Linked DNA regions of Alligator mississippiensis. The protein of the gene in region 1 interacts with the protein of each later gene in a pairwise test. Links are inferred from orthologs where the notes say so. Each region holds a gene or a part of one and is shown in the gene's direction. Other genes may lie near its edges. The genes, in order: C2H4orf19 and PDCD10.

Evidence for each region.
Region 2: the proteins of C2H4orf19 (region 1) and PDCD10 interact in binary tests that used the Homo sapiens proteins (3 or more experiments, as listed by UniProt). The two-hybrid records come from large-scale screens. The link is inferred for Alligator mississippiensis from reciprocal best matches to the Homo sapiens genes PGCKA1 and PDCD10.

What each region holds. Positions count from the first base shown.
Region 1 is NC_081825.1:49,319,151-49,335,235, forward strand, and holds the start of C2H4orf19 (uncharacterized protein C4orf19 homolog), read left to right. Parts: upstream 1-8,378; 5' UTR 8,379-8,470; intron 8,471-16,085. UniProt on the Homo sapiens protein: Acts as a tumor suppressor. Acts as a tumor suppressor for colorectal cancer cell proliferation by targeting KEAP1/USP17/ELK1/CDK6 axis.
Region 2 is NC_081830.1:73,253,201-73,269,285, reverse strand, and holds the start of PDCD10 (programmed cell death protein 10), read left to right. Parts: upstream 1-7,845; 5' UTR 7,846-7,936; exon of another isoform or gene 7,937-7,941; intron 7,942-16,085. UniProt on the Homo sapiens protein: Promotes cell proliferation. Modulates apoptotic pathways. Increases mitogen-activated protein kinase activity and STK26 activity. Important for cell migration, and for normal structure and assembly of the Golgi complex.

The sequences.
Region 1 (16,085 bases):
TGCATATACATGCACATGGAGCCCCCTGCCTGACCGCCCTCATCCTGCTCCCCACAATCCCCTGCAGGCTGGAACTCTGCCAGCCTGCAGAGAGCTCTGAGCAAAATCCATGTGGTCCTCTGCTGAAATAAAAAAAATCCATGTTTTTCTCAGGTAAAAGGGAACATTCACATTTTTTTCCAATGGCAAACAAAAAACCCAGATCTCTGATCATGACCTAACATGGTCCTTTGCTCCAGTCAAGCTGTGTGGTTGGGACAGCTGTAGCCAGTCATCAACCTGGGTCCTATTTGAGTTGGGTCTGCAGTTTTCATTTCAGCAAGCATATAATCTCGCTCCAACCTTTTGGGGTGTGTGCATGCTGACTGAACCCGCCGTCACTCCCTCCCCCTCCAGACACCCACACAGCCTCACTGTGGGAGCAAAGACCAGCACTCTACCACTTCTCCAGGAGCAACAGAACCCCTTGCAATGCAGAAGGACCCACGCTCTCATGAAACTCCCCACGACACAGTGAATCCAAGAAGCAGCTCATAGGACTCTCCAGTGGGGGCTCCCCATTGCTGAAAGGCCCCAGGAACTACCCACTGGGGAGGCCCAAGTCCTAGACTGCCTGGGAATGGCTGAAGCTTCCCACAAGAGGCCACCTGTAGACTTTACTGTCTGGTTAATAGTGTTTTTAAATTATATTTAGTGTTTTCTTTTTCTGTTTGTTTGTTTTTATTCTCTGCAATAAATTTGATTTATGCTGCTTGTGGGGAGTGGTTTTTGTCTATACAGGATACCCCAGCAAATTTAGTGTTGCCAAATTTTGGGTGGGGGCTCGAGCCACTGGTATGATTTAAAGGGCACCCCAAAATGTGAACCCAGCCCTTCTTGCTGCTAACCAGTACCTGGCAGAAGAGTTATAATAAAAAATAACTGCATTAGTTAGTTAAAATAGTTAAAAGACTTTTTTAAGACGTATTTTTGCATTGTATTTTTATAAAGCTTATCAGGAGAGTGAAAGGACAATTCTGAAATGAATTTTTTAGCTGTCTTTGATACAAACAGCTTATTTTTCACACTTCATTGTTCAGGTAATCACACCAATATGTGGACTAGGTCCTTTGGATAGCTTTAATTATTAAGGATTAGTTATTAAGAGTCACTATTAAGTATTTAGACCACAAATGTGACCCACTTTAAAGTTGTTATAATCCATTAAAGAATGTACTCAAGATTATAAATATTTTTTAAAGCACCTGAATCTCTTTCTGAAGTACTAAGTAGCTGAAGGGAGATGTAATAGGACAGATAGCTTCTCACCTTTAGGCTACCTTCAAGTCTCTTCCTTTGGCAGACATGGAAAGTCATTCATTTCCATTAGACTGCATTTTAATAGCTTATGTGAAATAAATATTACAGTGTCTACCATTACAGGGATCAATTTCCAAAGAGAAGCCAAAAGCTGAAAGAATGTAGAAACTAATCCTTTGGTTATGATCCCTGCAGTTGGAGCCAAGCTATCCTGTTAGGCACAATGATAGGATATTTGCCAGACAATATCTGTTCTGTGATGCTGCAGAGACCCTCACTATGCAGAACCATCACGTTGGTCCTAAAGTCACTTAAAAGCAAAGTCCTACAGCAGGAATCACATCTGGAAATGAGGGCTATTTAAGTAAGAAGGAAGGGACAATGAGAAGCCAAGGCTGGAAAAGATATAGGCCTGGGAGAAAGGATTGTTGGGGAATGGGTTGGGGTGAGAGCCTTAAATCCCCTTTGTGAGCCTTGCTGCAGCAGGTAAGACTCATTTGGAGAGGGATTTTACAAAAGAATTAATGTCCAGAAGAACAGACTTCCTTCCATTTTAAAAAATGGATACCAATGTGTCAAAAGTACTATCATTCTACAGCTGTCAGCAAACATCAGCTACTACTGCTGCCAGTTATGCCCTTGGCTCCTAAGACAGAGATCCGTGATGGATAGATTGATCAAATTCTGCTTAGGAACCATATAAGTACGACAGTGTATAAAATGGAATTTTAACTTTTTCAATCTCTTTTCTTCTTTTTAAGAACCAAGAAAATTATATGCTCATTCACGCCTATAATTAAAGACCACTATTAAGAAAAGATAGTCATGCATCAAAAGTTAGAAAAAAGCATAATTAAGCCTGCTTGAGCAACATTAATTCAACCCCCTTGTGTGTATGCATTATGAAAGAATCTTTAATCTTTAATGACCAAATACTATTTTTGACACAGGACATCTGCTTCACTGAATACACTGGATAGACATGCCCTGAGGAAGAATCTGGGAAGGTGTAATGTGGGAGATATGTAATAAAAAAAGCAGGGGTTTGCAGGAAGATAAAGATGGTCCCACAAATAAGGTAAAGTTCCCATGCAATTCAGACCTCTGGGAGACAGTGACATATTGCATGTTCTTCGTTTCTGGTACCTGACTCGGGATCCTGGTGTCTGATCAGAATAAGTGTTGAGCATTCATAGTGGAAGTTGAAGTTAATGGAAGCAGGACTTTGAACATATAAGGTGCTCTATATAATGCTATGTACTCTGAGAAATCAGGCCCTAGGTCAGCCAAATCTGACACCTAAAATCCATGGGTAGTTTTAATCTAAATCTCTCTTTGCATACAGAGAAATGAGGCACAATGGGAACATAATTTCCTCACAGGAATAACGGGAAAATAAATTCCACGTTGCCTGTAAAGCTCTAAAATAATATAACATTGAATGACAAAGGAAAACCTATGAGTTTTCCATTAATCAATTTCACTATGTAAAACAAGGGTAATTTCATAGGGTAATTAAGACAAATTCACTGCTAGTGAAGTGCTGAGATACTATCACAAAAAGTACCATAGAAAAGCTCATGAGAAAATAATTCTGTTTTCAGAGTAGGGTTTGAATAACATACCATAAAAAAGGCATGGGTCATATACTTAACAATAATGAGAGAACTATACACTGAACAGCTTCCCATTAGGTAGACTGAATGGGGCAAGGATTCTGCCAAAAACTTGGTAAGCAAGCATGTATTTAAAGGCCATATTAGGAGGTCTATGCACAAGGTAACCAAAGGATTACACAGTTACCTTATTTCTGGCATATCCTAATTTTTGTGTGCTTGACTTTTCAACCATAATAACAGGCTTTAAAAATAAGGCAGTTGTGTACAATATGGATGTTTAAAACAAAGACAAGAACACAAAAGAGAGCATGAAGGATCAGAGTGCAAAACACACATCTGTGATTATCAGTGTGGGCAAGAGGGTCCACAATCTGACTCTTTGGTTTGAGTTTAAATAAACAGTAACCAATTCTTGTGTAAAGTCAGATCCACCTGCAGTTACTCAAACTAAGCAGCTAAATAGCACCTTAATACACAGTGAGTACATCTCCATCAGATGCTTTACTTCTGATTAGACCAAATTATTGCTCAGTAAGCATCACTGTTTACATGTGCAGATGTTTACTGCACAGTAATTTGGTCTAATTGTGAGTAAATTTGCTACCTATTGTCACAACCCAAAGTTGTGAGTTTTTGTTTGTGTGTGCTTAGGCAACGCTAAATTATGTTCCCGCTAAAATTACAGCTTCCTTGCACGGCGGAGTTCTCTGCTGCGGGAGAGAACTCCGGTGCAACGGGGAATTTCCCGCCAAATTTGCAGCTTCTTTGCAGGGTGCATTTCTTTTGCATCTCAGAGATGCACGGTGTAAAGGAGTTCCTGCCATTTGTATGGGAGTTCGCGCCAAATTATTGGCCAATTCTGAATAAAGGTACACGTGGTGGCTAGCTATTGGCTTGCTAGCCGTACAAATGCTTGGGTGGTTTCCGCCCAAGCCGGAGAGAGAGGAAACCTGGAGAGACAGAAAACTCACCAGGAGGAGGAGAATTCACGCTGTGTGAAGATTTCTAAGCGATGTGGACCCTTACGGACCCAACGCACCTCTCTTAAGCAGGCAACAGAGGTCTGATCAGCCTCTAGCCTCTCCCCGTCGCCAAGCGCTGTCCTAGACGTATCCCTATCCTATATACCCAATTTTCAGATCCGCGGAGCCTTAACAACTCCGTGGTAGAGGGAACCGAACCAAGCCCACAGAGCTTTAATAACTCCGGGGAAGATTAGTGCCGTACGAACCCACAGAGATTCAGCCACTCCGGAGGGAACCGAACCCACGGAGCCTTAACAACTCCGGGGGAACTGAATCCATGGAGCCTTGACAACTCTGGGGAAAAGAGATGACTTGTCGTAATCCTCCAACGGGGATTCAAGCAGAGCTGTGCCTGGAAAGCTATCCAGCCTACACCACTACTTCTTTTGGTGTAAGTAAACAATCTTTTAATCAACCACTACGCGTCCGTAATCAATTCTAGCTCGCCGCGGTCTTCTCCGGCCCCGCGTGCCCTGGCTGCTGGCCACAGCCCGCGTGCGCAAAGATGGGCCCCAGCTCGCCCCCGGTCGGCCCGCACACCTATAAATACAAGTAGCAAATTTACTCATGCTTAGTCACTGCACAGTAATGCATGTGTAAACACTGACCAGGAGCAAATTTGCTGCTGACCAGTCCCACCACTAGGGGGCCACCTATAGCCCAGCACTCCCAGGGCCCTGGGGCTGGGAGCTTCTCCAGCCTCAGAGTTGGGGTGGCTCTTTGCCTGCCTCAGCCCCTAGCCCTTAAAAGCCTGCAGGGACACTGGGGCCCTAGGCCACCTGCAACCAACCTATGGCCACTGAGTGTCACTGCAGAGGCCCTAGGCCAGCCATAGCAGGCTGCCCACACCCTGGTGCCACTCCCTGGCACCACCTCACTGCCCAGCTGTCAGGCCTGTGCCGTTGCATTGTGCTGGGGACTGCAGGCACCTTCCAGGCCCAGCATCACCCTGGGCCACCTGAAGCCAGCCTCTTGCCACCAGGTCCCACTCCAGCTGGCTCCAGGTCAGCCACAGCAGCCTGCCTGGACTCCGCCGCTAGTGCCTAGCACACCCTCACCACCTGCCTGCCTGTCCCATGCCATGCATGTGCACTGGGCACTGCATGTTCCTGCCACGGTCCACCAGCACCAGGACTGCTACATGGATGCCCTGCAAACCATCAAGGGAGCCATGCTGGCATCATCCCCAGTGGCACACACTGCCTCCTGGGGCTGCAACTGGTCCCAGGAGGAGACCACAGACTTTGCTGCACTGTGGGGAGAGGCTGAGATTGCACTGTGGGGAGAGACAGGGTGACAGCCAGCTGGGTGTCCGTAGGGAGGGGCTGCCATATGGTGGTGGCCTGCCACACCAAGTACAAGCAGACATGCTCTAGGAGGCCTTGGAAGGTGGCCCAGATCATGTGAAGGGACTCCAGCCACTGCTCATTGTCCCAGGTGTTCTGGATGAGCACATGGACAGTCCCAGTGGTGGCATCCAGGAGCACATCAGTGGCATCCCTGCTGGGGTCCAGGAAGCAGCAGCATGGGGACAGGACACCTGGAATGGCACAGTGAGCCAGGCCAGGTGGCTGTGCCACACAGGGTGAGGGTCACCAGGGCTGAGACTGACCTGCACAAGGTGGCAGTCCCCGCGGCGGGTGAACAGGGTGAGAGCATGGTGGTGAGCAAAAACCCAGGGCAGTGGATGTTGCTCCTGGGGCCTGAGGGTGCAGCAGCCATGGATAGCAGGCAAAGGCTGTGGTGACAGAGCCAACACATGCTGCCACCATGCTCTGCTCCAGGCCAGGGAAGCATGTGATGGCCACCATCAGAAGAAAATTCAGGCTCATTAAGGCACTCTCCCAGGTACACATCTATACATGCACATCTGTCAGGAGCAAATTTGCTCCCAATGGGAGCAGTTCAGTCCAGAGCCACCCCTATCCCTCTGCCCTGCTCTGCCCCCTGCAGCAGCCAGGAGGAGCTCCAGGCTTCCCCAGGTGCCAGCACCAGGCTAGCAGGGGGGTCAGGCTTGAACTCTAGAGAGTGGGGGGAGCTGTCCAGGATTGGGGAATAGCTCCCAGCCATGCAGTGCTCAGGATTGCAGCCCGGCAATGTGGCACTGGCTTGGGTCAATGCCCTGTGCCCGAGCATGGAGGTAAGCAGTGCTTGAACCATGGGGGGACACATGGGGGAAGCAGCGCTGGGACTTGGGGGGATATGTGGAGAGGAAGCAACACTGAAAATGGGGTCAAAGAAGGGAGACACAGCAAAGTAGCACCAGTCCCCAACACTGCATTTCCCACCTCACCCCTTGTCTCCCCTCCAGTCCCAGTGCTGCTTCCACCCCACATCTTCCCCCCAGTCCTGGTGCTGCTCAGCTCCCAGCTCTCTGCAGGCATGGGCAGGGAGTTGAAGCTGACTAGGGGACTAGTCAATTTTCCTTGGGCAGGGGCAGGCAATTATTTTGGGCGGAGGGCCACTTACTGAGTTTTGGCAAGCCATCAAGGGCCTCATGATAGGCAGCCAGGGGCAAATAAATATTAATTTTCTAAATGTTTTAGGGGCCCTGTGCGCTGGATAGAATGGCCTGGCAGGCCGCATCTGGCCCTCAGGTTGCATTTTGCCTACCCCTGGACTAAGGTGTGTGCTACACATGCAGCAGCAGGGCTGAGGGGACTGGGGACTAACAAATGATGCATTAACCTAATTTAATGTTCAGTAAGTCCTGTACACATGTAAAAGCTGATGATTTATTGGGCATTAGATTAATCTAATGTGCATAAAGCATTTCATGTAAATGCACCCAGTGTCTATCTAAAACACAATAGTAAAATAGTCACAGGAGTTAGAACAGGTGTGGGTACTGGCTATCTGACAAACTCCAGTGATTCTTCACTTCTTTATCAGAGCCTCCAGGTCAGATCCTCCTAGATAGTTTAATGTAAGCTTTTTAATAATTTTTATTATTATTTAAAACCTTCCTCATTCTTGCAATCTATTTTCAGGAGTACTAAAGACTAGGGAAAAGGAAAACTGTCAAGAACATCTGCTACAGAAGCTCTTTGAATTGGGGAGTCTGAAAGTTCAATTATGTTCAGCCCCTGAACAACATACTTCCTCTGTTTAAGTCAAGGACATCCAAAGCATTTTTTTTTTTGTTAGTTTATTTATAGGTCTAGGCTTTGATTATGTAGCAATGGAAAGGAAAATTGATGCTAGGTGGCGCAGTTGTTTTATCCACTGCCTTTCCAAACGGAGCTCACAAATGCAGTCTATTGGGCTCACAAGTGAAACAACTCTTGTTCTTAAATCTTTATAATCCCACTGAGCACAAGAAACACCATGATGGAGCAAATCTTGAGCAGAAGTCAGTAGATTGCTTGTACAAGCAGAATTTAGCTCTTTGTGTTTTAGTATGATTGCCATTCTTTTCTCACAGGGCTACAATTTACCTACGTACTAGATCACTAGGGAGTTCACAGAGTTCTGTAATCCAACATACAGCTACATGTAGCTATAGATGTATTCTAAAACACAGAAGCGTGTCTTCCAGGACCATACCTAGAATTATCAGCCTTATTGTCATAAGCCTTAAATTTAAAAGACAAAGAAATAATTAGTTAGAATATTCCTTATTATTTATATTAATATGAATCTTGTCGGATTAGACAAATACAAGGTCTTGGACACACACCTATGAAACAAGGGAATGGCATTGTTTGATGCAGCCAGCTCTTCCCAAGACTCAGTTTACAATCTCCAGGTTCATCAAGGGGCAGTATTATAGGACCTGAATAGGGAAAACTGATCTGACTGGCTGCTAGCAGGTATCTCTGAAAATCTCTGGTCTGGCACTCCCTCCCAGTTGGAGAGGGGTGAGTGAGGGCTCTCCTTTCATACCACATTTGAAAATACCTCACCCGGAAGACAGTAGTTCTAGGAAAGTCAGTAACTTTTATGGACAGCCCTGATATCATACCTGTAAGTACTTATTTTAGATGCAAGTCCTCTGAGTAGCACCACCTAGCACACCAGTCTACACTTAAGTACTAGGCCAAAGTACCTGAACAGAGAAACAGAATTTTTAGCAACTTTGTTCGGCCCAATTTCTGACTTGGGGGGAATTTTAAATATACAATATAGAATTGCAATACTATTACATCAGCTGGCTTGGAATTGCTTTCTTTAAGTGCCTGTTTCAGCAAAGGAATCATTTGGTACATTTTCTTTTCTTTTCTTTGTTTTTTTACCCTGACCAGAAAACAAAGAGGTTTGTCAAGTTTTTTTCCAGCTTGCAGGTAAAGGGTTACAGATTCTAGGAAGTTTTAAATGCAAACTTTAAAGGATTTTATTTTCATCTACAGTCACATGATACCTTAATACCCAATGACACTAACAACAGTGTCTCATTAAGAGGTCATGCAAACTCTCAGATAAACAAGGCATTCTTACATATTTAACATTCAAATGCAGAAGCCAAGCTAAGGCATGGAAGATTTTAATCAGAAGAGCTGCACTTCCTGACCAACCCAAAAGTCTCAGGTAGGAAAAGTTCTTATTCCTTTATGTTTGTCTACATTCCTGATGTTAACTATATTTTCAAGATAAAGTGTTTACCAGGTTTTTGATCTTTTAGTTTTTAGATTAATCTTTCTAATAGTTTCAGCTGGAAAACATTTGAACTCCTTCTTTAATGTTGCACCTGTTGCAGAGGCACTATGTTTTCTGAATAAAAACATTTACAGTCCACTTAGTGGTAAAGCACAGCGGAGCAGATTGATTTAATTAAAAAAAAAGTCTGACCACCTAAAGCTAAGATTAATTTTAGTTATCCTTGTTGCTAAACCATTCACGTTGGGTTTTTGGTCGGGGGCAAGTGGGTGGTTGTAAGAAAAAAAAAAGTTGATACATTCCTTGTGCCTGAAAAAAGGAGTCTAAGCATTTCTGACTTTTTTATGCTATGAATTGCATATATCATTTCAGTGAATATGTATTTTAATGGATCTGGTTTCCCATGATTCCAGTTTCCCAATTCCCATCTCCTAAAAATCTGGTTAATTCCTCAAAAACTTGCAAGTTAAATACAACGCAGGTGAAGTTGGAAACCTCAAAATTCAAAAAAAGGAACAAAATATAGAAATGATGGGCGTGGGGGAACAGTTAAGACCACAACTCTTATTAAAATCTGGGAAGTCAGGTATATATTTTTGTATCAAGCCATATTCAGCAACACATAAAATGGCATAAGGTACCACTTACCTTAGTAGTATCAGGGGGGTCATGGTCTCATTATTGCTGCAGAATTTCTATGTACTGTGTCAGGCAACAAATAGACCTCTTCCCCATATGAAGACCTCTTTCCACACTTTATTTTTTTCTTCCAACAACATAATTGTTTTAGACAAGGCACTATCAACTCACCATTGTATTCCCTTTGCAGGAATGTAGTACCCAGACTTGTTTGACAACTCTCCCTCTAGTTTATCAAAAGATTGCCCCATTGGGAATTTCTCCTACTTAAAGCAACAAGCAGCAATGTTGATTTTCTCTAAATGCTATCCTTCTGAGGAAGAGAGGATGGTTGCTGGGAAGGCCCTTTCTTCAATTTATTGTATAAATATATTTTCTTGTCCTAACTACTATTAAGAGAGAGAAGCAGAAGATAATAATAATGTGTCACACTTAATTGTGCTCTTCAGCCAGCTGTCAAAGCGCTGTCCAAAGAAAACTACCGTTACCCACATTTAATACATGAGGAATCTTTAAGCCCCCTCAAGCTTATCAACTGCATTTTCAGAAGTGGACATAAGCTTGAACTTGCTTCAATTTATGGATTTCTAATTTGAGATACCCTAGGCCTAGTATTCAAAAAGGCAGAAGAAAAATCAGTCCCAGAATGTGTTGTTGGATTTCCAGAAAACTTGTCAAAATAGGGTCCACTCTTAAATTCTGGCTAGAAGCAACTACCATAAATCTACAACACAACTCTGGGGCAAAGGCAGGAATGGAGTTCAGCCAGCCAGGCATTCCCACTCTGCATCCTGTATTAAGCCCTCAGAAGCACAGTGCAGCTGCTTCGCTGCCCAGATTGTCAGGGTAATGAGTATTCAGTTTGAGAAGCTTACTCGGAGATACTTGTTAAAGCTATGACTCAAGGCAGTTGCTGTGCACTATCCTATATTCACATATTAACACTGTTCCAATGTGGTTGATCAGCACACAAAATTACTGTTTAGAATGAAAATAGGGCAATGAAGACTTATCAGTCTGAAGGTATATTCACTTTTCAAGAAGGATGGGCTGATTTGCAGACCAGGGACTTTGAGGACCCCCACTACTCCCATATGTCTGCTCCTGTAGTCCTATACCCAAGCAAGACTTCATGAGTAGACCCCGAACTTCAGACTCCCCTCAAGGCTCCTGCTGCCTGCAATGGACTTAGAATCAATTAAGTATGTAGAACTGAAAAAAAAAAAAAGAAAAGAAAGTGGAAATCGATTTTTGTCATCAAATAGCTGTCTTACTTAATAACATGCATTTCAATATTTCCAGATAAGATCAGCCAAATTATAGGATTTGTTGCTTTCACATAAATATTCGAAAAACACCAGTGCAACCAGCAATTTTGCAGAGATTTGTTTGTGAAGAATAAAATAATTTTTTTTAGCTGTCAGTACCAAAATACAGGAGCCTTTGGTTTGGTTTGGGTATGAGTTGGCATGATAATTATCTAAATGAAATTCTGGTTACCTTAAAGTAGCAGTATATGTTTATTCAAATATCATTCTGTGAACATTACCTTATAACAGCCAGGATGTTATCTTGAGCCAGATCCTAAATGGTATGAATGGGCACAGCTGCACAGATTTCAGAAAATTTTAAATTAGATGAATATCTAAAATATTTATGAATTAGATTACTATCAGCCCCATCGGAAGAAAGAAGCATTCAGCTGTGCATCTCATCTAGCATCTGAGAATGTGCTTATTTTTGTGTTACTGCTGTGCTACCTACTGTTAGCAGTAGTATAATCACAGTAACAAGAAGCCCCAGTCATAAGCCAAGAGCCCATTGTTCTAGGCCCCATACAAACACAGAACAAAAGATGGGAACTTCAAATAATATAAGTACATCAGTCACAGTAGGTCAGGTTTTGTTGACAACTTCTTTGATGTAAAACTAGAGTAGGACCATTAGTTTCAGAGGAAATACTTTAAATATATACTATGATAGGTAAGAATAGAATTTGAACCAAAGTTCTTAAGATCACTGCAGAAAACTTTTCATATAATACAAAGTGCATAGTCCATGATCCATGGGAGGGGAATGTACCAACTCTAAGACTGGCAGCCATCCCACTGTAAATGGAATGGAAAAGGAGTACTGCATCTTTAAATACCAACCGCAGTATATTATGACTCTTGCATTTTAAGTAATGTTTGTACAGATTGGGTGGGTCATGGAAAACCAATATTTAGCAGCTCAGTAGTTAAATCTGCTACATGTTTAATTACGTAAAATGTTCTTAGCGAGTTTGAGAGGTATTGTATTAAATATTTGCACTGGATATTCAATATAGGTTTTCCATGGCCTCAGTCATAAAACATACAGAACTTTACTTTTAAAAAGAAAGAGCCTGAACTTGGATTGAGAAAAAATACAACAATCACATTAATTTCTAAGAACCCAATAGAAATGATATATAAACACCTGGCTTCCTTGTTAGAGGTTCCGCTGTTCCTTATACCAGTAATTTAACAATACTTACGGTAATCAGCATTGCTTTGATTATTGCATTTTGATTATGACATACTCCCATTTAACTTCATGCTTAGTAATGTCAACATGGAGTCAGCTGCAGAGGTGACTCATGGGGCTGCCCTGGTAGATGCACATAGACCAAATACTTCCTTCTGGTTCAAAGGCAGAGAAAAATTCTTGGAAATTAATGAAACATGGACAAACTCTAAAGAAGGGTCTAACAGACAGACACATAATCAATGTGACCCTCAAATAGTTAAAACAATATTTTTTCTGTCTTGTTTTTACAGTAATAGAGTTATCAGGGAACAGCATTATTATAAATGTCAGTCAGTTATGGGCCTAGAAGGCCCATTGGGCTAGTGTAGTTAAGACACTCCAACTTCCACTGCCAGAGACAAACAAGGAAGCAAAGTGGCTAGTATTCCAGTCATCTCTGACTACCTGGACCAAACAGTTAGATATTTACTTACAGTTGGACTGACAGAGGGTAACCTTCAGCACAAATCAACAGCAATACTACATCTTGATTGTAGAAATGAAGCAAAATCCCTTTACCGTTCTGTGGCCATGCTTTTAGGGTGTGAGCAAGTGTTTGCTGCACCTTTACTTCACTTTACTTTTAGCCATCTACACCTAGACTGCAAACAAGCATGTGCAGTTCCAGGAGTAGTGTGCGCAGGCATTCACTGCTCCTGGGAGCCATGTAGAAGCCTGGTGTTAGTAACTCAGGGTAGGAGGAAGGGCAGGCAGGTTGCAGGGAGGGTTGTGGGTCCAGGGGGTGGGGAGGTTGGTAGAATGAAGGGCGGGTAGCATGTTCACAGGGCAATTTGCTGGTTAGGAGTGATGGGGGGGGGAGGGGGGAAAGAGGGCTAAAAATAGCTCACTCAGAGGGGGCATTGGCAACATGTAGGGGGTGCATGCACACCCCCTGAGATTGGCTGTGCCCCCCGCAGTCTTTAAACTTTTCATCTAAACAAATGGGTTCTCCAGCAGCACAGTGCCATGTAATCCCATCCAGGAGTGTTGATTCAATACTGACTGACAAGCAAAGGAGCCCTACTTTCTGAATTATGAGCACCCCATCAAGCAGCAAAAAAGTTTTCTTCAAACCAGCAGTGACCTGGTCAGTTTAGGAGAATTAATGAGAATACAGCCCAATAGTACTGTGTATAGCAGCAGGCAGTGCCAGTAAACTGAGAGTGGTTAATTGTTACTATACCATAGAACTCAAATACTGGAAAGCAGGAGAAAGAATCAGAGAGAACAGGATTGAAACATGAATCATTACGTGTTTTTATTGCTCTAAGGTCTATGTCTAAATAGCTAAAAGAGAGAATTGAAGGAAGGATGAAGAAAAAATGTCATGAGGTTACTACAGATAGTAACAATCTCTCCATGGTTCCAGTTAATAGCTCTCATTTAGATGTGTGATGAAATTTATATTTTGTTCTGTACCGATCATATTGCCTGAGGAAGTATGAACTAAATACTTCTTTTGCAGTAACAATAGAAAGCAGACAGACAAAATCCAAAGAGTTTCTCTTTTTATCTGACCTTTTTTCTCCTTCAGTTTTTATCCAGCAGCTTATTTAACTCCCCATTCCTTATTCAAGTCATAAATGTCCAATGTAGAGCCACAAATGCTTTCTGGTGATAAAGACTTTTTATAGTTCCATGCTCCATTGTAAATTCACATGCAACCTCATCTGGTGATTCAGAAGGAAAATTGAAAATATAGAACTCCCCAAACTCTGTTCTTTAATATCATTCCCCACTTTGGAATAATTTCCATTCTCTAAAAATTGAGCTGGATTTTGACTGAGTATGGCAACTTAAGATGCGATTAACTGGCATGGCAGAAGTGCAATTGTTGGGATCACATATCAGATATCATTGAGCCCTTAATTTAACATCTGTAAATGGCCTTAGACTAGTCTAAGTTAGCTTATGGCACATAAATAGGTCCAATTCCTAACCATAACAATCAACTAACTCCTACTAACTTCTAAGTTTGCCTGTCAAATCTTGTAGTGACAGAACGAGACCCTAAGGCTAGGAACAGAATTTACAAACAAGCCGGTATAAGTGTTCAGAAACTGGTTTAAAACTAACAGAACATTCAGTGCACATAAACCAGTTTCAAAATGGCCCAAACTGGTTTGAGATAAACCCAGTTGAATGTAGTATCATGCTTAACTGATTTGGCTCAAAACAGTTTATGCAATGTCTGTCCCAGACCCCTTCCTGGTTTAAGTTAAACCAGAGTCCCCCAGCATCCCAAAATGCTTTCTGGGCTAGACTCTGCTCCAGCCCAGCCAGGCTGGCTCCGCCCTCCTGTTCCCCAGCCAGAGCACAAACAGGCAGGATCGGGGGTCTAGCCAGAGAGGCATTTAATTTCCCCCTCCCTGTGCCACCAACAGGGACCTGAGCCAGGTCTGCTGGGCGCTCCCCCCTTGCTGCTGCAGCAACAGGGCACCATGGACCCTGAGGCAGAGGCGGGCAGGGAGGAGGGTTAGTCGTCTGTCTACCCCCACTAGCAGCTGGGTCTGCCTGCTGTCACCGCCACACTCACTCCCTGAGTGAGTCCAGTGTTGCCCTTGCTTTACCTCTGGCTCCCCACATATCTAAAAAAGGACTTTTTATTGTCCTTGATATTTGTAGCTAGTTCCGTTGCAGCTTTGGCTTTCCTGGTTTGCTCTCTGCAGGTTCGGACCAGTGCAGAGTATTCCTATTCAGTCTATTTTGTCTACTGAAATCCTGTCTAAGATATTTTTGCCAGGGACTTCCATAGAAACAGGATACAGCCTAACACCATACATCTATATGGAGTATTCTGATGTAATTGCTTAACAAAATGAGGATGAAAATAAAAGAGCTAGCGTAGAAAACATGGTGTTACATACACTTTCACCCCAAGACTTGAGCATCACCCTGTGGACTCATTGTATCCCCCCTTTCTTTTGCCATCCAATCTTGTTTCGCCATTGTTGGAAAATACTCAAAAGGGACAGGTGATATTTTTATAAGGGATGACACCATTCTTTGGTAAACTGTTGATCCCCACTGTACTCACTGATGGGATCCTTAGTTGCTTTGATGAGTGATTGCTAAACCATCAGACTGTCACAGTCATCATCCACAAACAGGCCCTAGGTACTGGCCCCTGTGACAGCCCATTCTCTCATTTAATGACATAGTATCTGCTGCTGTGAGGATGACTGTTCACCCTGAGAGGCATACTGCTGCATCACTTCTCCAGCAGTATCTTTGGAGCTACATTACGTTGTCCTCCTGTAAATGCCTGAGCTCTCTGCATGAATATGGGGACAGAGAATCAACTATGATCCCATACACATATTCATTTTGGACTGCCAACACACTTTCATGGCATTTCTCATCCTGCAGCTGCATTCACCAGCACAGTGCTTTTTGCCCGGGGGGATGCTGTGGGCAGCCTAACTGTAATGCAGTTTTCTAGCATCAGGGTTGAATTCAGTACAGATGTACCAACATACATCTGCTATCTTTACACCTTTTGTGCTTCCTAGCAAATCAGTGCTTCCATGTATGTAGTGCAGTTTCTTTCCCAAGAGAAAATACTATCAGCTCCTACTCCTCTGTCATCTGGGAACTGAATATGAACCTGATTGTGATCTCACTCATACACCTTTAAGTCCACTGATTTCAAAGGAGCTACTCAACTGATATACTGAGATCAGTATGAGACCCTGCAGATTTCAGGCTTTTGAAGCAAAATGAATGCCCTGCACCTTTATAACTCAGTGGAAAAAGAGGTTACTGTGTTATCAATAAACTGAAGAAGCCTTTGTTTATGTCCTTTATGCAGGTTTTCCTGCTCTGGGTGGGGCATGGAAAAAACAATATTTACCTGCTGTGTAGCTCTACTGTGTGTGTTTGTTTTGTATTATCATTTCTCATGTAAATTTAGCAGATGTCTCATGAATTGATATCAGCTCTGGACTTCCAAGTTGTCTACTAAACAGCAGGCTAGGAGTGAACAGGCAACATCTGGGCATGTAAGATATACAGTGAAATTCCAGCCATTGATTCATAGGCAAAGAAGTTTAGAGAACAAAATACTGCAAGATTCTCATTTGCATTTCAAGTGAAGCAAAAGCTAAACTATCAACCCCAAGCAGAGAGCCCTAAGGCAGAAGAAAGTCACATGAAATTTATGTTCTTGAATTATTTTGAATTCAAAACATTTGGAAACACTTTTCACTGCACTGAACAAAATCAGATTGCTAGAGGGTTGGTCCTTATTTACTAATAAATGTTAGAAAAGGCAAGTGCAATTCCAATAGTTTGGCAAAGAATATGCATACAAAAGAACAGCAACCCTGATAGATTAAATCTGTTTGTTGTATGATTT
Region 2 (16,085 bases), on another chromosome or scaffold:
CTTCCTCTTGCCTCACCACTGCTCAGCTGAGTGGCAGGACTGGTGACTGAAAATCAACATAGGCAGAAGCTGGTCTTGCAAGCTTCTTGGCCATGCTGGCTTCCCCTCAAGTTCCCCTTGTTGCTCAGCTGGGTGGTGGGGATGGTGATTTAAAAGGCAGAGGAAGCCAGGAGCCAGGTTTGGGGAAAGTCTCTGCATTCCTGCCTTCTAGCGTCTCCAGCTTCCCCTTCCTGCTCCCACTGCCCAGTTGACCTGGAGCAGTACAGAGCAAGGCAGGCTGCTCTGCATCCACAGTGAAAAGCTTCCCACCCATCCTGCTCTGTTCTGCTATCAGTTCCCCCAGAGCTCTCTCTGCTCCAAGTCAGCTCACTCTTACTTTTAACTCACTGGAGCAGTGTGGGGTGAGGCAAGCTGCCTGTGCCCCTTCAGAAGGGCTCCTGAAACTACCTCCTCTCTTGACAATCTTCCAGGGTATGCCAGAGTCAGGAGGCCTCCCATGAGAGAATGACCATCCAGCTGATTGGTTGGATGAGGGGGGGGGGAAATTATTCCAGGGTAGAAACCCTCCCCTGTTCTCCGTGGCAGCTACAGGTGGTCAGTTGAGCTCCCGCAAGGGTAGCGGTGGCCTTCTAGTGCCCCCTGGCTCAAGAACTTGCCTCTGATGCTGTTCAACCATAGGGCAGGAGGATGTCTGTACCCAGGTTATATTTCGAACATTAGAAATACCTTCTGGTGGAAATGACTGTCTGTATATAGCCAGTGTTTTGAAAACAGGCACATAAGAACAGCACAGCTATTGCGTAGCCCTGTGACAACAGGTAATGGCCATTTTGCCATGTACTATGACTGGCTACTTTGAATGCGAAGTAACCAGACAACTTTTGTTACGAGTGACTGCTTTGATATAGCCTAGAACCCAGTAAGGAACATAAGTGGAGGTTAAAAAGACTGTGTGTTTGTGTGCAAGACAGACTCTAATCCAACAGAGACAAAATGAAGCTTGTGCTTTTAAGGCACTGCAACATAGCACTGGTTTATTGATTAGAGCACAGCAAGAATAAGTCAGTCATTGGAGTACAAGTTGTATGGGCTATCTTATTAGCTGGATTTATAGTTAGTATAATATCAGATGACCATGTTAGGAGGTAGAACTTGGTGTCTGAAAAATTAAAGAAAAAGCATTCCTCCTTTATATCCGGACTTCTTTGAAAGTTTGAGTTGTGTTTCCTACAGCAATACTAATACAGCCCTTTTGTATTTTTAAAATAGTTTGTGTTACTCCCTAGGTATGCTTGAAATTCTTTGGGAGAACTTTCTTCCAAAAAAATGTATATTCTTATTTCCAAATTTTCCCTGTTTGAGCCAAAGTGCTTGGCTACTTACTATATTTACAGTACAGAAGCAGTTCAACAAACCCCTTAATGCAATTGGTGTGGCTGGTAAATTACATCTCTACCATTTTATATTTGTTCTTTTAAATGTTCATTCCTACAGGATATAAAATGTTACATTTATTGCTACTAGTATTTATTAAAATAGTTTTGCTTTTGTCTATTAGAAAAACCCACACCACAAAAAAACCCCAAACCTCCTATTTTTCTTGCTCATGTGATTTTTTTATGTTGAAAAACAAAGCATTAAGGTTGCAAAGTCAAACACTGAAATATTAGCTCTTAGTTTTATCTTAATTTGCCCCTCACCAGGGAATTTTATCCCAGCTTTAATTTTGTGATCTCACCTTATTTTTCTAACAACGCTCTTGCCTGATTCAGTGCAGAGGATGGATGGTGTTCAAGTAGCAAGGTGGTTGCTCAATATTTTTTTCACCATATAAAATAAAACAAGAATTCTCAAATAGATTTTTCATTATCTAAATAAAGATACACACTTAGATACTGTGTCAGATTTATTTCCGTGTACATCAAGGTCTGGACTTTGGAGATGAAGATCTCCTAACCTGTTAAGACAGGCACAAGGTAAATTTTATCCTCCAAGTGTGCTATTATGAAGTAACCCAGTATACACTGTCTATAAAGTACATGGATTATCAAATGCTCCTTTTTTGCAACAAATGTCTTCAAATATGCCAGAGGCTGTATACAAATGAGGAGCAATTTCTTCTCAAAATTTCAAATTTTCTATAGTACTTTGGTTGCTCAGAAACAAAATAGCTGCGATGCTACAAATAAAATAGGTAAGCAAAGTATTGGTAAAATTTCCCAAGCCCATCAAAATTAAATCAAGAAGGAAAGGCTGAAGGAGTTAAATAATTAAATAGCTAAAATAAACCTAAGTAAGACTAGACACTAATTTTCAATACATTTTACTACTACTGATTTGAAAATAAAGGCATTACAATAAACATCTTGTCTCTAACATCTGTGGCACAATGCTACAGTTGGTGAGCACGTGTATTTGTAACCACGACAGGGTGGCAATGGAAGGTCCGACTGAAAAGCGATGAACTCCAACAGGGTAGGAGGAGGCTAAGATCCTTAGAACAGGCACTTGGCACAGAGAAACATTTTCTGGCATTAGTTCTTGCATGACAGTCCTACAGGAAAATATTTGTTCAGGAAAGGAGCATTCTGTTAAGTAAAATGTTGACAACAGTCATAGGAACAATAAATGACATGGGCTTCATGAGAGCAGATGGGCTGTTTTCCAACATCATGTATGCCTCGGCAGGTCCATTTGTCCATTTGTGAAAATGGACAAAGCATTCACAAAACAGGATGAATGACTTAACCTCAATCCACAAGTGTATATGGAGATACGGATGGGCTCACTGGAGTCCAGAATCATCTTGTGGTCAAGATATAAAAATGGGTTCTGATCCCACCTCTACCACAGACATCCTTGGTCTCCTGAGATAAGTGTTTTAACTGCCTGTGTACCATGCTCTCTCTGAAGAAGCCACGTGAAGATTGTAACACAATTTAAAATGTCTCCTTGCTTACTCATAACATTTGTGGGCACAAAAATTAGAATACAAGAGATTATTGGACAAAACTTCCACAACTAACTTAGTTTCATATGAAAGAGCATTTCCTCCCTTCTTACTGTTCAGCCATTACACAATCAGACTTCCCCAAATTGATCTTAACAGAAGTGAAAATAGATTACACTATGCTCTGATTTCACCTTGCAAAACATGTATATATTTTTTTTTAACAAAAGCTTGCATGTCTATATTTCCATTTATCTATAATGTGTATTGAAACATATCCCTTGGATGATCAAAGACAGATTTTGAACATCAGTTTAGAAATATGGCCAAAAGGTAAGATATAAAATATCTTCCCTCCAAATAAAAGGTCTGGGGTTTCCCTTCCTGCCTCCAGTGTTACATGAAGCATTCAAAACCTGTGCACTTGATATATTTGCTACTTCATAGTAATAAAGTGCAGATCTTACTTATTGAAGCCTGACAAATTAACTGGAAAAGCTATCATTAACACCAATTGATTTTTTCTTCCCATTGTTAGTGTACCTCCACAGGCTTCAAGGGAGACATTACTGGGCTTATGTAAGAGTGAAATGAGAATAAGACCGCTAAAACCAGCTTCATTTTATAGAAAATTTTGGACTCTGCCTTGATTTGTGGAACCAATGGCTTAAAAGCCACCTTGAGTCAGATTTGTAATTTTGCTCCTCTTCATACCATTTTTAAGAACTGAGAGGGTCTGACTGGGCACATTCCCAGTTTCTCATACTCTCTCTCTAAACCAGCAGTTCTCAACCCCCAGGCACCCTCATTAGATTAAAAGCATCTCTCAGAAAAAGCCAGCTCTTAATTTTCACTCATGTTTTGACTACAGAAAAATAATAGAGCACTTCTGTTGCAAAGAGCTCAAAAAGACTCAGACAACAGGTCAGAATTGTTTTAAAACTATGAATTCCTATCTGAAATCTCTTGGTTTCTCTTGTGAATCTTGCTTACACACCTACCAGTGCTAATGTTCCATGGCACATTGTAGCACACTTGAAAGGATCTCAAGGCACCCCAGGGTGCTTCATAGATACTAGGGCTGCAAGGGACAGGAAGTCAGCTAGGGTCAAAGGATCTCAGCAAGATAAGCGTCCAAACATTTCTTAAAAGAGTCCAGAATAGATTCCCTCCACCTCTGGAGGGACTCTATTCCAGGCCTTGGGGACTTGGACAGTAAAGAGGTTTTTCCTGATGTCCAGCCTAAAACGGTCTTGGAGGAGTTCATGACCATTGGACCTTGCCATCCCTTGGAGCACTTTAGTGAACAGGCATTCCCCCTAGATCCTGATGCACACCCCTGACGTACATATAGGCAGCCACCAGGTCACCCCTGAGCCTGTGCTTTTCAAGGCTGAAAAGTCGCATGGCTCTCAGCCTTTCTTCAAAAGGCCTGTTCTATTGTCCTCTGATCATTCACGTGACTCTCCTCTGGACTCTCTCAAGCTTCTCCACATCCTTCTTGAAATGTGGAGCCCAGAATTGGATGCAGTATTCCAGCTGCGGCCTCACCAAGGCCAAGTACAGCGGGTGGATGACATCCTGAGATTTACTCGAGAAGCATCTATGGATGCAAGCCAGGGTTTTGTTTGCTTTACCAGCTGTGACATCGCATTGATGGCTCATGTTCATTTTGTGGTCATTCATGACTCCCAACTCTCTTTCCGCCACGGTGCTAGCGAGCATAGTACTGCCAAGCCTATAAGCGTGCTGCAGGGTTTCCCCCCCCAAGCTAGAGCACCTTACATTTGTTGGTATTGAATGTCATCTGCTTAACAATCACTGCTCTAAAGCATCCACTGTTTGCCACTATGGGAGACAAGGGACTGGGTGAGATGGATGTTTAGCATGGATAGTTCTTATGTTCTGGTTTTACCCACTATCATTAACACTGAAAATAGAGGAAGGGGGAGGAAGGGCAAAGACTACAACTCTCACTTGCAGTTTACTGAGCCTGAACAAGCCATACTTTTCACTTGCCCTCACCATTACATTTATTTTAGAGCTAGGATGCTGGTAGAGGTAAGACCTGACTCTGTAAAAAAAAAGGAAGCAAAAATTACCAGTCGGGTCATCTCTCATTTCCTTAGTGGGAAGGAGGAGAGGAAAAGCGTGTGTGCGTGGGGAGCGGGCAAGGCTCAAATCACATGGCTGTCATTCAATCAACTATGAGCTGTCACTTCTTAAATTGGGCCAGTTTGAATGAAGCTCTCCAAACATTTACCTCAAAATTTGCTTCTTTTATGCAGTTCCACAAGAACGAAGTAGAAGTTGCTGTGCCTTATATTATCAAACACCTATCAATGCTTTGACTTACACTATGAAAGCATACATCTAGTGTGCCTTAACTATATTTTAAGATTTGCACTATAAAGTAATTAAAGACTGTTATTTGTAGTAAATTAAAAAAAATTCCCCACTTCCCCCTAAAACCAACACAACCAACATAAACCAGTTTTGAAAAAGCAGGATGAAATAAAGGAAGAAAATATGTATTAAGCTGTAACTAAAGACTCCAGTATGAGGAAGCTACATTCAGGGTTAAAGAATTTGGGGGAGATGTCAGCTATTTAATAATATTTTGATATAACATAAATCTACCCCAACCCATTTTATGGATTGTTTCACAGAAGAGGGGACATGCACACACTTTTATTCAATGATAGTAGCTTAATTCTTTACCAGATTCAGCTGCAGAGTATGCGAAGATTATTCAACCAAAAGTCCTCAAGAAGCAAAGCCAACAGCAATTAGTGACATGCATTAAAATTTACGAACATTACACAAATTCTAAGTGTTCTCCACAGATAACAAGGGATGTGCATTATTGGGTATCTGATGAATCACACAAGAATAGATTAAGACAAAAGAAAGAGGAATGAAATACATATTTTTCCAATGGAGCACAACATTCCAGATGTCTTCCCGAGCGTTCTTGCCTTCTTTTGCATTAAATTACTAATGTCGTTACATGTGATGAACAGTTCCACATTGTATTGCTGTCGCCTATATTTGGGGTTTCTGTTCCCACACTACAGAGCCAGGTGCCACAAAGGTATATATGGCTTTGTATTATGATACTCTTTGTGAGAAAATGATAACCACTGGTTGATAAGCTTAATCATTTACCTATTCATTCAGCTGGTGGCATCTCTCATGCATGCGTCTCCGAACACATAGGAAGTGTTAATATATTAGGTATCATACAATATACAGTACATTTTTAAACTTTCTGTTTTTACATTTATGTAATTAAAATCAAAGAGATGCAATGGATTCTGAAATCCAATTTATTAAAAAAGCATTTCTTGATTTTAGATACTATTTAAAGCTTCAAGTTCTAAAGCTTTCCTACAATAAAGCCTAATTTGCTCTTTGTAGATAAGACACAGTACCACTGTCTGCAGCTTGATGAACTTAAAGTAGTAATAATATTTTTAAGTTAACGGAGTCTTGTATTTAAAGAGCTCAATGAGCTGTACACAATTATTAGAGTATCTTGATTTTTATTCCTAAAGGCGGTCTGAAATAAAACTTAGTTTTTCTCCGGTTTTTTTTAAGCCCCGGGGGGGGAATTATCATATAAGTAGGCTTAGAAATATATGTTGTCAGAGATTCATTTTATTAAGCTGTCAAGATGTGAAACTTTCAACGAGGCTGATTTCAAATATTGCGTGTCACACGGTTTAGCGAACCACACGATACAACCTACAGCATATAATAAATGAGAAAGACACTTTAATGGGATGCTGTCACACGCTTTCAAATTGAAGAAGGAAAACGGCACAAGTCTCGGAACTGATATTTTATTACGTCTGTTCAACAATAACCTCGCCGGCTTCCCGGAGAGATGTTCCTGCTCCCTTTCCCCTGCTGCACCTTACACATGAAAGAGCTGCCTTTCAGAGACACCCCTTTGACTTCCCGCAGTTTTTAAAACTTCTTGAATCGTTACAATGGATTTTCTAGGGCAGATGCTAACGCAGCCCCAACCGCTGTCAAACAAGGCGCTGGATTACAAATCACAATGAGGCGGGGGAACAGAAAAACAAGACCGAGATCTTAAACAGCGACCAGGAGTGTGGAAAGAGCTTCTGCAAAACCGGATTATTAGGCTGGGAAGACAAATCACATTTTAACAGGAGGGCTCGGGCGCGTTGCTCAGCGCAGGGGCGAGGAATAAGCTGCGTTGGACCCAGAGGCAGGGGCTTGTTTCTCCCCCCGGGCTCGGGCAGGGGGAGGTGGGTGTGGATCTCCACTGCTCCAGGAGAGCCCGAGGGGCACTTTTGAATAACGCCTTCAGGCTAAAGCTTTGCAAGGGTGGGGGGGGAAAGGTGCCAAAATAAATAAATAAATACATACATACTTAATTAGGGCAAACAACCCCCAAATTGGAGAAGCGCTACAAATTAATAATAATAATAATAATAATAATAATGAGCATCGCGGAACGGCGTGGGACACATGCACTCCCTCACTCACTCACCCGGAGCGGAGCGGAGAGGCTGGGCTGGGCTGCGCGCGGCTCCGCGGCGGCTCGGCTCTGGTGGCTCGCTGCGCGCTGGCCGCGACTCGCGGACCGCCTTAGGGGCTGATTCGACTGCGTCCGCCAACGCCTGCCTTGCCTCACGCCTCCCCAGCCCCTCTCGGGGCCACGCCCCCTTCTCAGGGCCCTCGCGCCCATTGGTCGCTCCTTCTCCGCCTTCTCTTCCAGCCCCGCCCCTTTCCTCCTCCTCCTTCCCCCGCCCTGCCGCGCGCGCGGCATGATGGGATATGTAGTCCCGTGGCGCGTCACTACAGTTCCCAGGAGCCCGCGCGGTACCCGGCGAGTTCCGGGCAACGCCTGGTGTGTGGTAACCGCGGCCGCCGCTTCCTACTCGGCAGGCACTTCCGGCGCGGCGGCGGGGCCCGCGCTACAGCTGGGAAGGCTCGGAGGGGCGGGGGGAGGTAAGGTACGGGACGTGGGGGCGCGCCGGTGCTTTGTCCCCCGCCCTCTCCTCTCTTTTCCCCGGGCCCGCTGGGGTCGCTGCGGTGTTTGCGTAGGGCCTGGCGGCTCCGCCGAGGTTACGCTGCTCTTGGGGCGTAAAACTCCTTGGAGAATCGGGGCCCGGTTGAAGGGTGGGGGCGGGGCGGGTGCTGCGGAGGTGCCCGCGCCCGTCCCCGTTCCCGTCCCGCTCACACTGGGCCCGGGTTCCCTCAGCGGGAGGGGTGTGGGGGAAGGGGAAAGCGAAAACCCCTCCTTTGTTGGTGCGGCACCTCCCGCAGGCCGGGCCCGGAGCGAGGGCGGCGGACCTGCCCTTCCGGTGTCAGCCGGGCTGGGGCGCCCCCGGGTGCAGCTCCTTGTGCGGGCTGACTGAGCCCCGTCCTCCCGCAGAGAGGTGCCGAGCCCCGGGGTCGCTGCCGGGAGGCTCCGCTCACATACCAGCCCCAGCTTGGGGTGCAGGAGGGGCCCGGAGTGAATCTCAAGAGGCCTGAGGAGGCCGCCGACCAAAATAGACTTGGCAGAGAAACTGGGGGGCGCTGTCACGAGGGGGTTTGCCTGGCAAGCAGTCTAGTTGCTGGGGTTGTGATCCTGGCTACTTCACGGGTAGGCAGCTCTTCAATTTGTCTGATGTAAGAAATCGGAGCCCAGCCCCAGAGGGCAGGTTCTGGCGTCTTGCATCCTCGCTAGGCGTAGTAATGAGGTAGGGTGGAAAAGGGCTGAATCCCTGACTGCGTGTAGGGTGAGGGGTTTCTGACTCGGGAGGAGTGACTTGCAAAACTCATGAGGTTCAAAATGGATTCGGATTTAGAAAAGTGGGTGGCTTGAGCGTTCTCCCAAGTGGCTTTTTTTCCCCTGTGACCTCTTAGTTTAGCTTCTGAAGTAGTGGCACCCAGCCATATACAAAATAACTAAATGTATGTGCATGGACAGTCATGTTTTTATAGGAGTAGAGTTGCTTGTTTTCATCTTTCTATATGAATATACCATTTCACAGGCTGTGCAAGTAGCAGTGTAGTTAAGAAAAGCTTTTGGGAAAGCTAAACTTGAATCAGTAATTTTTTTGCTACTTTTTTTTTTTTTTTAAGCTACTTTCAATGTTAAGTAAGGGAAAGTGTAATCCATACAACCAAGACCATGTGGCTTTTTTATTTTTTCCCTTAACCTCTACCTGTCTAGACTGGCCAAGTTCATTATGTTTTTGCAGTAGTAGTAAATTCCTCTAATGTTAACTTAAGTGGGTGGTCTGGTGTTTTTTTTTTTTTAATGCTAAACAAAAATCTAATCAGCCTGATCATAGTGATTTGTATCCCTTCCTTTTTCTTATATGATTCATTGTTGACAAATGGTTTGAAGGGTGTTTGAAGTCATCTTGTAGATCAGGGGTGGCCAAGCTGTGGCTGAGGGAGCCTCTGTATGGCATGCAGCAGATCGGGGAGGGAGCAGGGAACATTGTGATAGGGCGGGGAGCAGGAAGCACTGTAGCAGATCAGGCAGGGGAAGGAGGTTGGAGTGGCACTTATGGTGGGTGTGGGGCTTTCCTTGTGGCATGCCTGCTAAAGTTTGGTTCCCACTATTGTACACTAGTGGAAAAAGACCACTATCATTATGGGAAGGTCAATGAGTATTGTCAGTTGCCATGGCAGTCAGAAGAATGCAAAATTATGTTTTGGGTGGAATCGTATTTGAACTCCAGCTTCTAGGTTCGTAACACCAAGTTCTTGCATCTGATCATAACTCCCTTTAGAGGGGCACGTGAAAGGGTGATGTTTTCTTCTGTGCGTTTCCTCGAATTTTTGCTTATAGTTTCAGTAACCACAGGTAGAACTTGCGTTATCCACCCCAAGTATCTAATCTAGTTCAAGTATCCATCTGGATGAAGTACCTTGGAGCAAGGTGAGAGCAGGAAGTCTTCTGCAGGCCCTCCAGAGTGCTGAGGAAGGTCATTGGACGAAGACAAGAAATTATATTTAGGTACCACTTTGCACTTGTCCCTGGGACCTGAAAGACTCAAGGTGGCTGTTTTCTTAATTGGTGAGACAAAGTCTCTTAAGTGGTAGCAAAGGAGCAGATACCACGTTTTATCTGTTTTAGCAGCAGGATTTTTATTTTATGCATACCTTGTATCTTTCCCCAGTGGTGAAATGGCTTTTGAACTAAAATTGATTTAAAAAAAAGAAAATAAACAAAAATCTAAGGTATGTGGTGGTAGGTGGAATATTAGTACATTTTGTCCTAAAAACAAACGGGTATAGGTGGGCCATAAGTTGCAGTGCATTACTCAAATGTAGCACAGGTGCCTGAGTTAGTTTTCCATAAGGAACAAGGGCCTAATAGTGTAATGTAGCGCTTCCCGAACTCTGACACATTGCGCACCACCAATTTAAAACAATACAACCTTAAGTACCAGCAATTTTTTGTCATGTAAAGTAATTATAATAAATCTATTAACACGTACCGCTGACAAGTTGTCTGCGTTATAATCTTACATTACGTTGTGAGTTTTATATAGAAGTGGCATATGATGAAAGCTAACCACATTTTGCTGTTTTTCATAGTCACAAACGTTGCCACGTATACAAGTGACTGTCAACTGCTTTCTGTTCAGAAACTTGTATTAGTCTGGAGGTGGCCTGCATCTGTTAAATTCTAAGTTGTCTACCTCCATGAACGCAAAATGGGATCCTACATAATGAATACTAATTTTTCCTGGTGGAGTTTAGGCCTCATCCTTACCACTGCGCTAGAGATCTTGGAGTTTTTTTTTCAATACAGCCTCCTTTCAGGGAAAGTAGGGAATATTACATTGTTAGATTATCAGCACCTCCTTTAGTGATAGTGGTGGCTTCTCTGAGACAACTGTTATGGAGCTTCTGCTCAGAAACCAGTTCTTTATTGTTGTAAATCTGGTAAATCATATACAGTATCTATTTTTCCACTATTGGCTAATGATATAGAGAAAGTTGTGGTGTCACAGTTGACTGCCAAAGTAATTCTGCTCTCCTTGATCCATGACAGTTGGCACTTGAGCATGGGATGGAGATTGCACTAGTGTTATAGCTAGATTGCTTATTGGTGATAAAGACTGAGTACCTGTGTGTGTGTTTTTTTTCAGTCCCCCCCGCCCTCCCCCACACATACACACTTTGGTCATTGGGCATATCTGACCATTGGGAAGATTTTTGAGTTTGTGGTATTTTCAGTATGATAATGACAGACAGTTCTACATTTCTAATGCTTACCCTAAATCTTCAGGCATGGATGAAAGCAAGCTGCAGAATTTCAATTAATTCAGCTACTGCTGTAACTGATAATTTGGAGAAGTATCCTGAAGATAGTTTAGGGATTAGGATTTTCTCTCTAATTGAGGACTTTTTATATTCTGTCTATTAGTAAATCTTGCAACTCAAAGATGGTCTTAACTTGTAAGCAGCTGTGTCTAGACAGACTTTTAAAATCTTCTCTTAGCTGTGGAGATTTACTGCCTCTTTTGGATAGAGATCTTGCTACTGTAATCCATACCTTTGTAGCTTTTAAGATTAGGCTGCTAAAGTGAACTCTTCATGGGACTATGCTTTCAGATTACTGAGCATAGTTAACTGGCACAGGATGCAGCAGCATGGTCGTAAGTGGTATATCTTACAGGGAACACTTCACATTAGGGACTTGTTACCTGTGCCTAATGCTTCTTGGAGTCTGGGTGGAGCTTAAGATCCTGCAAGCCAAACATTTTAAGGGGCTGCTGTAGTATGTGTTTGGCAGGGATCCCATCAATATGAAGAAACAGAAATTGGAGTAGCACACTTTTTAGTGAAATCAGACACTTTGGATCTTTCCTTTGACTCCTGTAGTCTGAATAGCTGGACTTTATTGATCTTTGGGGGCATGTTGTAATAGTGCTTGTTATGCAGGATCTTGGGGATGGAGCAGCAGAATAAAGGCTGACATTTGGCAAATAAGTTTTTTAGAATTTGATTTCTAATGTGTCAGTGTAAGCTACTTTCTCATTTGAGAGTGTACAAAATCTAGTTTTATTTCTGATTCTCTTCCCTCCCACCCCCTTCACTTTTGGCAAATCCCTCTACAGATCAGGATAGGTATTTTTGTGGAGGTTTATCATATGATGCATGTGTGTGTGAATGAGTTTGAGCTTTAAAACTAGTATTGTGAACAAGGGAGGTGAGTCTTCCCAGGGTGTACAAATAGTGATACTTTAAAGGAATGGCTCAGTTTTTACAAGCTCTCCAGATTCAGGTATAAGCATATGTAGATTTTTTGCATGACAGAGAAACTGATTTCGTTTCTTTAGTCCTGACACTTAAGTTCATTTGAGGCTTCGGAGGTCACCAACTCCTAAGTATGACTATTTCAGTTCTTAACTTAAATTTTAACTAGAAGCACGTTTAAGAAAATTGTTCATTGCAGTCGTGATTAAAATCCATTCAGCTCTTACTAGTTATACAAATACTAACCATTATGATTTTATTATAATTAGGGTACAAGTACAGGAGTAACTGAAGTTGTGACAACTGCTTTCCTAACACCTTTCAGGCACTTAGTACAAAGAGGTGTATTCATATAGTACTCTAATATTACTTTTTTAAATTCCTAAGTACAGTGTTAGTTTATGTATTCTGAAAATCAAACGCTTAACTAACAATGTTTCCTTTAATAGGTATATAGGTCTTTCCTACCCTGTAATTAACACCCTTTGTTGGCAGAGTAGACACTTTAACCTGTATCATTTCCATTATCATGAGCTATAGTAGAATACCACAGTTGCTTCATGTATTCCTTGTCTTGTGCATCATTAAAAAATATGGTAGAAAGCTGCACCTTTCCTTCAGTTCCCTTTTTTGGAAAGAAAAATTACAAAGGTGGGACAAAAATTACAAGAGCTTGTGTGTTTTCCCCTTTTTTTTTCTTCTTTCATGTGTACTTGAGGCAATATGCTTTCACCACCACCAAATGATGGACTGAAGAGCTGACTTTAGCAAAACTCTTCAGAGCAGAGACAATGTCTCATGTTTCACAGTGCTCTTGGCACTATAATTACCTTGTTTGCACTTCTTGTTCTGACTGCCTCTATTTTAGAATGTGTACTGATGCTTGTTACCAGTGCATATGGGCATGTCTTCTGTTAGACTGGTATGGGAAACTATATGGGAAGACAGGTTCTCAGGTTGTTCTCTTTTTTTTTTGGGTAACAGGAAGCTGTTAGGAATGTGCCTGTTTTTCCTTAGGAAAGCTAAGGTAACAAAATGTCATTGTGATTATGGTGAAAAGGCCTCTGTCAAAGAAGAAGGACACTAAACTTTAAAAATGGCCACGGTCTGGATTACAATTAATGTTTGGAAACTTGTTCCTTATCCAAACTCCCATGAACTCAAAGTTCCTTGTCTTCTAGTTTTTTTGGTTGCATTCTGGGTTTTGGGATCTGCATTGTTCCAAATACGAGCAACACATGAAGCTGCATTCTAGTGGATGTATTGTATCTAATTCTGATGGATCCATGTGTACAGTACAAGGCAAACTTGCATATTACTAGTGCCTGAATAAGCTGGCAGAGGCATAAGAAAAGATGGTATACTTAGTGCCTCTTAACTTCTCACATGACTTAGCAATTAAGGGGAGGAAAAGGACAAGCAAAAGATGGCAGCTTTAACACTGCCTAAGGCACAAGGAAGATTGCCAGGCACAGTTTACGTGAAAGCCACCTCTCCTTACGCTTTTTATGCAAATGAATGCTTCTAGTCAAGCAGGAAGAGTAGCTTGTGGTCTGCAGAGTATGTAGCATTTGTAGATTAAAGGTAGCCCTTTAATTACATATAAAAGAAAGGGACTTTAACGCAAAATGAACATAATAGGTACAGTGGTATTTAGACTATGCTGAATGTGGAAACAATGCAGAGACCCTAAACTAAGGTATGGTCCACAAAGCAAACATTAAGTTTGTGTTTCAGTTCCTCAGTCCACTTCATGGATTGCTATGGCTGTCAGCTGAAGGTCTTGATCCGTAAAATGGACTGAACCTACTCCTCCTGCTTGACTAGAAACATTCATTTCTATGAAGTGTAAGGAGAAGTGGCTTTCATGTAAACTGCGTCTGGCAAACCTCCTTGTGCCTTAGGCAGTGTTAAAGCTGCCATCTTTTGCTTGTCTTTTTCCTCCCCTCAATTGCTAAGTCATGTGAGAAGTTAAGAGCACTAAGTACATCATCTTTTCTTTTCTTATGCCTCGACCAGCTTATTCAGGCACTAATAATATGCAAGTTTGCCTTGTACTGTCTACCGATCACACAAGGTGTTGCCTTGCAGCAGGGGTTGTCAACTGGAGATATGCATACCCCTGGAGGTACTTGGACCAGTCCTAAGGGGTATGCATGGGTGGGTGGGGACAGAGTGTCGCTGCCTCCCAGGAGCAGGAAGCTCACACGCAGCAGCTGCTGCCACTGCCACACCCCAGCCCAGTGAGCTTCCCCACCCCTGCAGAGGGGCACTGCTGCCCTCACCCCAGCCTGGAGAAGAATTTCCTCATCCCAGCCTGGCCCTGGTCCTGGGAGGTAGTGGTGCTCTGTCCCCACCCATCTGTGCACTGTCCCTGCCTCCCTGCTCTGTGTCCAGCCGCGCGCTATTCCCCCCCCCCCCCACACACACACACACTCTCTCTCTCTCTCTCAGCATCTGGCCACGCACTACCCCCTTAAACTAAAAAAGAAAACCCCTGCCTTACAGGACAAAGATGTCAACTTCTAGTTAAGACAGTGAGTTGTAGTGTAAGTCAGTGGTGGTCAACCTTTTTTTGGCAGGCAGGCCACAAATTAGTCCTGTGCCTCCTTCCCCGCCCCCTGCAGCAAATGCCACTCTGCCTTCCCTTGCCTGATCATTTGCTCTGCTTTCTTCGTTATCCTCCCTGCCTGATCTGCTGCTTTGCTTTTTGTTCCCCTCCTTGGTCTACCATGTGTCATGCCCAAAGACTGTGGCCCCGGTGCCCCAGATTAGCCACCCCTGCTATAAGTCATGCAAACAAAGTGCTTTATACAATTTATAACAAATCCTTTCCTCAAAAACTTGTTTCTTTTCATTATTTGAAAATGAGTAAAGTGAATTGCAGTGATATGGCTGATGATCAGGCGACATAAGACTGGTTAAAAGAACAATTTGTATAAGACTTACATATGCTCAACTTCTTCCCTCGCCACTCCCCAACAAGGAATGATAGTTTTTCGTATTAAGATTTAACTGTTGTCCTTGACTTAGTTGTAGGTAAAGACCAGTACATTTTCTAATAACAATTTCTGTTGAGTGATAACATCTGATAGTCTTTTCACATTGGCTCTCCAAGATGACCATAATTCAATCTGTAATTGGGATGTTGAGCCTTCTTTTCAAGATCATATTTGTTCATTTTGAGCCTGATATTTGAGCCTGGTTGCTTTCTAAACCTGCAGGTGTATGTTTGTAAGGAAGCATTATCTACCTTGCGTCTCACCATAAACTACTACATAAGTTTTTGTTTTCCACCTCCAAAAGGAGGAAATTACAATGTGCATGCATCTCATCATGCTATATTTCTCTTTAAATACACTCTAAGTTTTCTATTTGTTCTAATCAATATCTAAACTATCTGGCCAATGTATGCATATCTGCTGGGGGGGAATAGTGATCTGTGTGACTAATGTACTGTACTTTATATTATCATGATGAGACTAGGGCATTGCATATCTTTTTAACTCCTACCCATCTCTCACCTCATGAATGCTTGTGCTTCTGAATTATTCTAACATTTATAGTTATTCCATTGTTTAAAAAAATGCTGGATGGGAAGGAAATCATAAATGTCTATGATACATTTTTTAGCTTCTAAATCATGGGCTAAATATGGTCTAAGTAGTAATGCCTGGACAATATATGACTGTTCACTGATTAATTAAATGGATACCCTTAATCTAGTGGCATTTACTCTCATTACAAAGTCCACTATTCTACTTGACATGCTTGTTCATTTTGTGGACATTATCAATAAGTAAGAGAGTAAAAACAGTAGTTACTAGTAGATGTAATGCCTGTCCCCAAAAATCAGCACTTATGTGACCTCCTAAGGTAATGTTAAATC